Linked DNA regions of Saccharomyces cerevisiae S288C. The protein of the gene in region 1 interacts with the protein of each later gene in a pairwise test. Each region holds a gene or a part of one and is shown on either strand. Other genes may lie near its edges. The genes, in order: TYE7, ARR1 and BTT1.

The links.
Region 2: the proteins of TYE7 (region 1) and ARR1 interact in a two-hybrid assay, tested with the Saccharomyces cerevisiae proteins (one large-scale study listed by BioGRID).
Region 3: the proteins of TYE7 (region 1) and BTT1 interact in a two-hybrid assay, tested with the Saccharomyces cerevisiae proteins (one large-scale study listed by BioGRID).

The regions. Positions count from the first base shown.
Region 1 is NC_001147.6:976,646-979,943, forward strand, and holds TYE7 (Tye7p), read right to left. Parts: upstream 1,425-3,298; coding exon 549-1,424; downstream 1-548. UniProt on the Saccharomyces cerevisiae protein: Transcriptional activator of glycolytic gene expression, such as enolase genes (ENO1 and ENO2), glyceraldehyde-3-phosphate dehydrogenase gene (TDH), phosphoglycerate kinase (PGK1), phosphoglycerate mutase (PGM1), pyruvate kinase (PYK1) and triosephosphate isomerase (TPI1) genes.
Region 2 is NC_001148.4:937,602-940,656, reverse strand, and holds ARR1 (Arr1p), read left to right. Parts: upstream 1-1,624; coding exon 1,625-2,509; downstream 2,510-3,055. Other genes in the region: ARR3 (Arr3p), read right to left, coding at 1-735; ARR2 (Arr2p), read left to right, coding at 986-1,378. UniProt on the Saccharomyces cerevisiae protein: Transcription activator required for resistance to arsenic compounds and for a regulated expression of ACR2, ACR3 and YCF1.
Region 3 is NC_001136.10:961,597-964,420, forward strand, and holds BTT1 (CCR4-NOT core subunit BTT1), read left to right. Parts: upstream 1-1,815; coding exon 1,816-2,265; downstream 2,266-2,824. Other genes in the region: PAM1 (Pam1p), read left to right, coding at 1-1,510; MET32 (Met32p), read right to left, coding at 2,394-2,824. UniProt on the Saccharomyces cerevisiae protein: Acts as a component of the nascent polypeptide-associated complex (NAC), which promotes mitochondrial protein import by enhancing productive ribosome interactions with the outer mitochondrial membrane.

The DNA.
Region 1 (3,298 bases):
TAACGGGTTGTGAATGTAATGAATAGAAAAGGCCGTAATAAGATAATAAAATAAAATAAATGAGAAAAGTTTGAGAAGAGTTCGTTCGTATAAATCATTAAGGTGTATGTGTTTGTTGAAATAAAAAAAATTGATTTTTTTTTATTTTTTCGGTTTTGGCATACATATCCGTCCGTAGCTGAAACGGAATTTCGTCATGTCTTGTGCTTTCTTGGCTATGAACCACGCGTCATTAATGTGTATAAAGGAGGAATAAAATTAGAATTTTTTTTGAATAATACGAAATAGAAAAGAAAAAGGTATGAAAAGTGCGCATCACGATTTATCATCCTTCTTTAGTGGGGATTTTTTTTTTTTATCTTTTTGTATGTTTTTTCCAACTTCTTTTTTTTTTTTGTATTCTTGTCTGCTATGTTATGGCCTTGTTATTTTTTGGGCTTGTTTTTTAAAGTACTTCGCTAAGAAAGAAAAAAATGTCGCATAAACAAAAGAGGAGAAAGGAATTTCTATCGTAATTTTATAATATTGGTGTTTAAGCAAGCGTGCTTTTATTTTTGGTCTTGTTTCAAAGTGTCGATTTCACTTTTCAACCTTTGAACTTCCATTTCGTATAGTCGTTCGTTATTTTGTAGATATAGAATATAGTCAACAGCTTTTTCTAGGATCATGCTTTTATTTAGCTTCGTGCTTGTAGCAGCGGCAGATGGAAGAGGAGTAGTAGCGGCAGTTTCTGCGCCGTCTTCGTCCTGTTTTTTTACAGAATCACCTACTTCGAAAGCTGTTTGTTCACTTGCTACCCATGGGATAATCTGCTGCAGTCTTGCAATCTTTGTGTTGATGTTTATTCTGTAGCGTTTTTCAATCTTGTTGTGAGCTTGCTTTTGGAAGGGGGTCAGTCTTTTTCTTGGAGCCCTCTTTTTCGTTTCCTTAGCATCTAGATTTGTTTTTATAAACGAGTCGTTTAGCTCGATTTCATTCTTAAGTGGGGTACTATCGTCATTATTATCAGTATTTATCATGTTAGGCATTAATTGCAAAGAAGCCGGTTCAAAATCTGCCAACGAAAGGGCATTGTCATCCTCTTCTCTTTTTATCGAGCTGCTAACCTCGGGAGAATGCGAGTATGAGGAAGGATTACTGAAAAACTGATCTGTTGGAAAAAGAGCAGATTCCTCGTTGTTGGAAGATATAAACTGGTCTTCGATTGGAGAGCCTATCGAGGAGCTGGATGCAGAGGAGATAATGTTTTCCAATGGTTCGAACCATGTGGAAGAAGATGCAGAAAGAACTGACGAGGAGTCCTTGTTGACGTTGATATGACTAGCTCCGTCATTTTCATCCGACAACCAATTATCAAATTCAGATTCAGGTTTAATTAAAGTAGTTTCGCTAGATCTAACATTTCTGTCTAAAATAGAGTTCATAATTGTTAAACTTGAAGAGATTTGATAGTGTGTTATTTGTCTTTATTTTTATTTTTGCACTAAAAGTTTATGAAGTGAACAAAAAAAAAAAATAATAGTAAAGTAGAGAGACTTTAGATCGGTACTGCTTGTGGTGCTTTACGCTTAATAAGAAAGAAAATGAGAAAAGAGAGAAATATGTAAAGAATAAAGGTTGATGGTTGGGAAATATAAAATAAGGATGTAATTAAGATAGCTTTACTTTCCCATGAATTGATATATGAAGTGAAAAAGGATGTAAATAAGTTTAAATTTTGGAGATAACAAAAGAAGTTTATATAAGTACATTTGATTGTTGAGGTGAGAAAAAAAAAGGAAACAGAGGTGAAAAAAATTAATAGCAAACGTTGCGTTTTGCATTTCTACTAAGAATGGAAATGTCGCAGACACGGTATCATCTACACTGTGAAAAAGAAATGAAAATGAGAATTGTTATTTGGCGAACTGTGAACGTGCGCAGGGCAGAATCCCATTGTACGGTTCGTACGTGGGCACAATGAATTACTACTAGGGTAAGAAATGACCGCAGCAGCATGAACATTCTAGAACAAAATTTGATTCCTTACCGAATGGAGAGAGGCCACGTTGTTAGGGGAGTAACAGCGCAATGAAGTGAGCTCAATCCCACTCCAGAAGGGCTTGTGTACGGCCGGAACTGGGCTAAGCAGTATCCGCGGGTGAAAGTCAAGGTCAGCTTGTTCCGGTTTCAAAAGGAAGATTTTCCGGGATACCTCTGGGTGTAACATTCAGATGCGTGCGTCATTTATTCTCTACCCATGTGGTGCCTGCCAGATCCGGTAAGTACCGCCCAGCATAGCGTATACACAAGGATGAATGGGTTCTACGACACCGCGGTTTAAGGAAGTTGCCGCATTTGGCATGGTGTGGTGATGTCTCTTTTCCTAAACCAGACTGAGACAGGTTTATTTCACCGATTTTTTTTTGCTTTGGCATAATAGAATGTCCAAGAAGGGTATTTTACTATCTTACACGTGTTTGTAACATAAACGACAATTTTGTAGCACAACTAGGGCATGTCAGTCTGAGTCGTATTAGCGCCCTCCCCCTTACTTCAACAGTATCGTAGGATTGGCATTGCATATACGCCGATTTTAGCGTTGTTAATTGATCATTGCTGGCTTGCCACGTGATGGCAATAGGCTTTCTCTCGTGCTCGACCCCTAATGTCAGTTCAAGCAGGGAACGTGCCAAACATGGCTAGTGCATTTTTTACGTAAGCCGCAAAGAGGTTCCTCTTTTCTTAGTGTTTCGCCCTACTGATAAGAATGTGAAAAAGTAAACGATAAGATTAATATAATTAAAAAATGTTTCAATTCTAGACATCGTACCCACAAAGGCTGCCCATATCATATCGTAATACAGATCCGCTTTTCAGATTACATCCGATTTTCAGACTGAAAAGCAGCATAGCGGCAGTATGATGAATACAAGCGCGCTTATCTGTCGCTCTTCTTACTTGGAAAGGGAATCATATTACCCGGCAGGGCGCTGACGGGAGCCGCATTAAATAAGCATACGAAAATCATCAAGGTTATCGGCATTTAATTTTTTAGAGGCTTCTTTATATCCCATAGTTAGATTATTCAATCAAAAGGTTGTAAATGCCTATTAAGTTGCCTCTTGTCATGGTCCCATATTCCCTGAGGCATTCCTGCCAAGAATAATGGATTTCTTTCATGCATAATTATTGAGTATTTGAATCATCTACATCGCACCCAAAGAAATTTGATATCGTATAATTCAGCATATTATTATATACTGTGTAAAAAGATGACATGGGAATTAAGAAACAATCATCAGATTTAGTGGATGCC
Region 2 (3,055 bases), on another chromosome or scaffold:
GTATTTTTCATAATTACTTTTACCAGCTATGGTAAGACTTCCCAAACGTATGATAATGCCAATTCCCAGTGGTATGCCGAGAAAAACTCCGACAGACTTTGCAACCTCTTCGAATAATACCCTATTTGAAGTATTCAGGTGGTCATGAGAAATAACATAACAGTAAAATATCTGCAATGGTGCATATAATACCATCTGTAAAAGCGAGTTTGTAATAACAAGCACGACGCAGAGATCATTGTCTCCTCCAGCAATCTGATTCCAAATTAGCACCATGGCAATGCATCTAGCTACTCCGATCATAATAATGCCTTGACGGTATTCCTTATAATCGAATAGCGCCATCCACGCCAATGCTGTCATCAACAAAGGACCGATGACCCAATTCAAAAATAACGAGAGGGCTAGTTGCTTCCTTATATAGCTCCTGTAGAAGTACTTGTGAATAGACTCCCAGGAAACTTTGCAGATCGGGGGAATCATCATTACAATCATACCAACAGTCAAAGGAATGGACACTCCCATTAGATTGGGATGACCTTCAGCGTCAAAAGTGTGACGGGAAGAAGGCACATAGACAGAAATTATTACTGCAATGATTATGGAGAGAATTATAGTAAATGGCAACATCAAGTCAAGCCATGACAATGACTTGATCGTAGTCAGTATATCGGTGCGATTCACCATATTAACCTTAGAAGGTACCGAATTTTCACTTTTTTGATCTTCTGACATTATTCTACTAACCTGATGATTTGTTGGTTGGGTTCTCTTGAATTACAACGAGAGCATTCATTTATATTCTTTTCCGTTTACATTATAATTATGTAAGGAGCGTTGCCGCTAAAGTTGATTATTAATCAAACAAAAAGATAATTAAGAGCATTCAAAATTTGATTTTAAATCAACACTTTTGAAAAGTCGGTATAAAAACTAATGTATAACAAACTAATATTGAGGAAAACTTGACAATCCAGCAAGCGTAATGGTAAGTTTCATAACGTCTAGGCAACTCAAGGGCCTAATTGAAAATCAGAGGAAGGATTTTCAAGTTGTTGATCTTCGAAGAGAAGATTTTGCACGTGATCATATTACAAACGCTTGGCATGTTCCAGTAACAGCACAGATTACAGAGAAGCAACTGAATCAATTAATTAAAGGTTTATCCGATACTTTCTCAAGTTCTCAATTCGTCAAAGTGATATTTCATTGTACTGGGTCCAAGAATAGGGGACCAAAAGTAGCTGCTAAATTCGAAACCTACTTACAAGAAGAAGATATTACAAGTAAGTTTGAGAGTTGCATCCTCGTTGGAGGTTTTTACGCTTGGGAGACCCATTGTAGAGAGAGTAACCTTAAATTGATTGTTAGTGGTTGAGCTCCTCAAGCTTTATTGTTCCAGCATTAATGTAAAAGTCTTTTCAATATTTTATGTACGGCAAAACTTTTTAATTCCATTTTTTTTTTTTTTTTCGTTTCTTTTCTTATTAAATTAAATATAATTATAATTATAATATTCCTATCTTTACAAAATCATATTAGTATATAATTCTAGCATGCGGATGGTCTTTAAGGAGCGGCCGTTGAAAAAACATGTCAAAACGGAAGATAAGTGACCAAGATAATGGCAAAACCGCGTGGAAGAAAAGGCGGCAGGAAGCCTTCACTTACTCCACCTAAAAATAAGAGAGCTGCGCAACTTAGAGCATCCCAAAACGCATTTAGAAAACGAAAGTTGGAAAGATTAGAAGAACTAGAGAAGAAAGAAGCTCAGCTAACGGTAACAAATGATCAAATTCACATATTAAAGAAGGAAAATGAACTTCTCCATTTTATGTTGAGGAGTCTTTTGACTGAGAGGAACATGCCTTCTGATGAACGGAACATTAGTAAGGCCTGTTGTGAAGAAAAACCGCCCACATGTAACACTCTCGATGGTAGTGTGGTTCTTTCCTCCACATATAATTCCCTTGAAATACAACAATGCTACGTATTTTTCAAGCAACTGCTCTCAGTGTGTGTTGGAAAGAATTGTACAGTGCCGTCACCGTTGAATTCCTTTGATCGGTCCTTCTATCCCATAGGCTGTACGAATCTCTCAAATGACATACCAGGCTATTCTTTTCTAAATGATGCAATGAGTGAGATTCATACGTTTGGTGACTTTAATGGGGAACTTGATAGTACCTTTTTGGAGTTTAGTGGGACTGAAATAAAGGAGCCAAATAATTTCATTACTGAAAACACTAATGCAATAGAAACAGCGGCAGCGAGCATGGTGATTAGGCAGGGTTTCCATCCAAGACAGTATTATACAGTGGATGCTTTTGGAGGGGACGTCCTATTAAGTGCGATGGATATTTGGAGTTTTATGAAAGTGCATCCAAAGGTTAACACATTTGACCTTGAAATTTTGGGAACAGAACTTAAGAAAAGTGCTACGTGTTCTAATTTTGATATTTTAATTAGCCTCAAGCATTTCATTAAGGTCTTTTCGTCAAAATTATAATATTCTTCCTGTAAGCACAGCGCAACATTGTCTTTCTTATTGTTAATATATAAGTTAAAAGCCGAATTTTTCATTTATTTATATAGATGGCGTGAAGATTATTACGGTCAGATACCTTCGCCTATTTATGTACTTGCATGCGTTTAGATTTTATTGGAAAAAGTATTAATTTATCGTCTATCGACTAGTATTCACGTTACTAGTATATTCTGTATAGTTAATGATAGAGCCTTTATTTAAAATGGAAGTCCAATAACTATTTCAAAATCAAATTATATGTCAAAGATGTTCAACAAATTGGGAAGGCAAGAGGCGAGCACTAGGCCTGATACCCTTCTTAATGCCTTGACATACACGTGTCTATTTCTTTTTTCTTGTCGAGGTATTGAGGTATTGACCAATGCTGAATGCTTGATAATGTAATTAGGGATCGCGTACGACAAGTTTCAGCAATTGTTAGGGTGTTATTTTCATTGTTCCCGATTATGAGCACAATATGGCGGTCTTGTACTAGGATAACTTGGGCGTATGTTTCACTATACTAGA
Region 3 (2,824 bases), on another chromosome or scaffold:
TTTAGAATGTTTGTTTACAATGATGACTCAATATCAATTGTTAAATAAAGGTGATTCTGAATGGTTTATTAGAAAGGATGAGAACACAGCGTTAACTCGCGTTGATGATTTACAAAACAGTATCGCACTTAAAGATGGAAAAATCATGCAGCTGCAAAATTCGGAATCAACCCTGAAAAATGAGATAAAAGAACTTCAAAGTCAAGTTTTGAGCTTAAAACAAGAAGTGTCCTCAAGTAAAGCAAATAATGGACAAGAGTTGGAAATTTTAAAGAAGAAAGTGCAAATGGGAGACAATTCATTATTTGATCGCCCAAATAGTAATACTAATGGTATATCTCCCTCTGATAACATTGTTGATGTTGATTTAAATTACGAAAGGAGTGACCAAGGTAATAATAGTAGTGGTAATGATAGCAGAAGACAATCTTTTTTCAACTCCACATCTGATACAACATTATCCAGAGATGAAACCTCGTTGAAAGAGCGTGAGTTAGAAGTACGAATGAAGGAATTAGAACTTCAAGAGCGTGAGTTAGAGTTACAGAGAAAAGCCCTCCAGCAACAACAACAATATCAACAGAGACCGCCTAAGCAAGTATACTCCGGTCCTTCTGGTACACCAACCAGCGGCAATAACAATAATAAAAGTTACAATCCAAATAGAAAATCTTCCTATAGTCAGCCTCAACATGTGGCTATGATGACCAGCAGAGGTCTACATGGTCCTAGCGCTGCAAGCTCTAGCCCTGTCATTTCTGCCAACAATTTTGTTGATCCAGTTTCTTCTGGGACGCCATATAGCAGCAATAGTTCTCGATTTAGTCAGCAAATTCCATCGCAGCAATACATGCATACTGTTAAGCCAACGAGTAGAAAAAACAGAAGTAGTGTCATGCCTAATATAGGTTACGTCCCAGGGCTAACCAATAACGAGTATGGTAGAAAGTTTAACGGTAATGGTATGAATGGTACCCAAAGCCGTCTGAATTCACTTTCAAACCAAAGTACGTTTAGATCTCAACAGGGTCCACCGATAACACAGCAAAAATCGTTTCAAAATAACGGTGGTAGCATGAGGACAAATCGCATACCATCTGCAAATTACAATATTTCAAATCAGCAATCGGGTTTTGTTAACTCTATTTCAAGTCCAAATCTAAGCAATTTGGAGAATAGAAACACAGTACAAAACAGTAGAAATGCGGATTCTGCTCCGTGCGTTAATCAATTGAACAGTGACTCTCCGCCCCAATTACAGTCTCTATCTCAAAACGGTACCTCAAAAGTTCCTCAGATCAATATTACGCAACCATCACCAATTCAGACCAACTTTGCTACGAGTGATAACCCTGCTGCTGTAATAAAACTAGGGACACCTTCTGAAGATACAGTTTCAGCTGCGGCAACAGCCAATAATATAAGTACAATGGGAGATGAAAGCCGCAAAGAGGACGTTAAGGAAAAAAAGAAGAAAAAGTTCAGTTTCTTTGGAAAAAGGAAAAAGTAACAAATACGCGAGCCCTTGTCTTTCCAATCCAAATAATCCGTTTTTGTTAATGATATGTTATATTTTATCTACTTATACATTTTATCTAAAACACTTTCTATTTGGTTAATGACCAACGAGGAAGTTTGTAGCTTCAACACAACTTTAGATCATGTAATAAACGGCATATGCTTTTAAATGCTTTGTTTTGTTTTTTTCTTTTTTTCCCGCTGTGACAGAAACAATTAAGTTGCGTTAAAAAGGTTCCCTGATAGAAATAAATACGGCTAAATTAAATAAACTACTACATAATCCTACAACATCAAATGCCTGTAGATCAAGAAAAATTAGCTAAGCTGCACAAGTTATCAGCAGCAAACAAAGTTGGTGGTACCAGAAGGAAAATAAACAAGAAAGGTAATTTATATAATAACAATGACAAGGATAATACCAAGTTACAAGCTGAACTTCATAAACTGCATCCAATGACCATTGAAAACGTTGCCGAAGCAAATTTTTTCAAAAAGAATGGCAAGGTTTTACATTTTAACAGTGCAGTTGTACAGATTGCCCCTCAATGCAATCTCACAATGATTCATGGCCAACCGAAAGAGAATACACTTAATGGGCTGTATCCGAGCGTAGCCTCTCAATTAGGTAGCCAAGAACTTGAGTATTTGACAGGTTTGGCTCATAACCTAGAAAATGAACAGACGGTGCTCGACCAGCTGGGCGACAGATGCAGCGAGACAAAACAACAAGTGATGAATAGCTGACATAGTTCATAATAATTGCCAGTAAACGTTATAGCTAGTGGCGAATGTCGAAGTGGAAATGCTATCACATTAATGTTGCAGATGAATATATATTTTCTTATTTGAGAAGATACACGCTATTTACTCTTTCAGCCATTACTGCTACCATTGTGGTTGTTATCTTGACGATGAACGATGTTGGATTGCTTGACTTTTTTCAGTAATTCATTGATACCCTCACCACCCGCAGTTAGTAATTTAGTCCTGTTTCTCCTACATGTCAGTGTATCATAATGTCTTTTCAATGCATCTTTCCTTGCAAAACCTTTGCCACATTGAGGACAAATGTTAGGCAATATGGCGAAGTGTGTCTTTTCGTGCCTTCTCAAATCTGATGATCTTGAAAATTCCAACGAACATTTCGCACATTTAAATCTTTTTTCACCAGTACTATTTCTACGATCTTGGGGTTTGCTTTTGCTGGACTTCGGTGGTTTTGGTAATGCGTTTTCCTTTTTAACCTTTATGTTACCGCCTTGACTATTTATATCAACACCATTTTCTGCCGGTATGAGTGCTG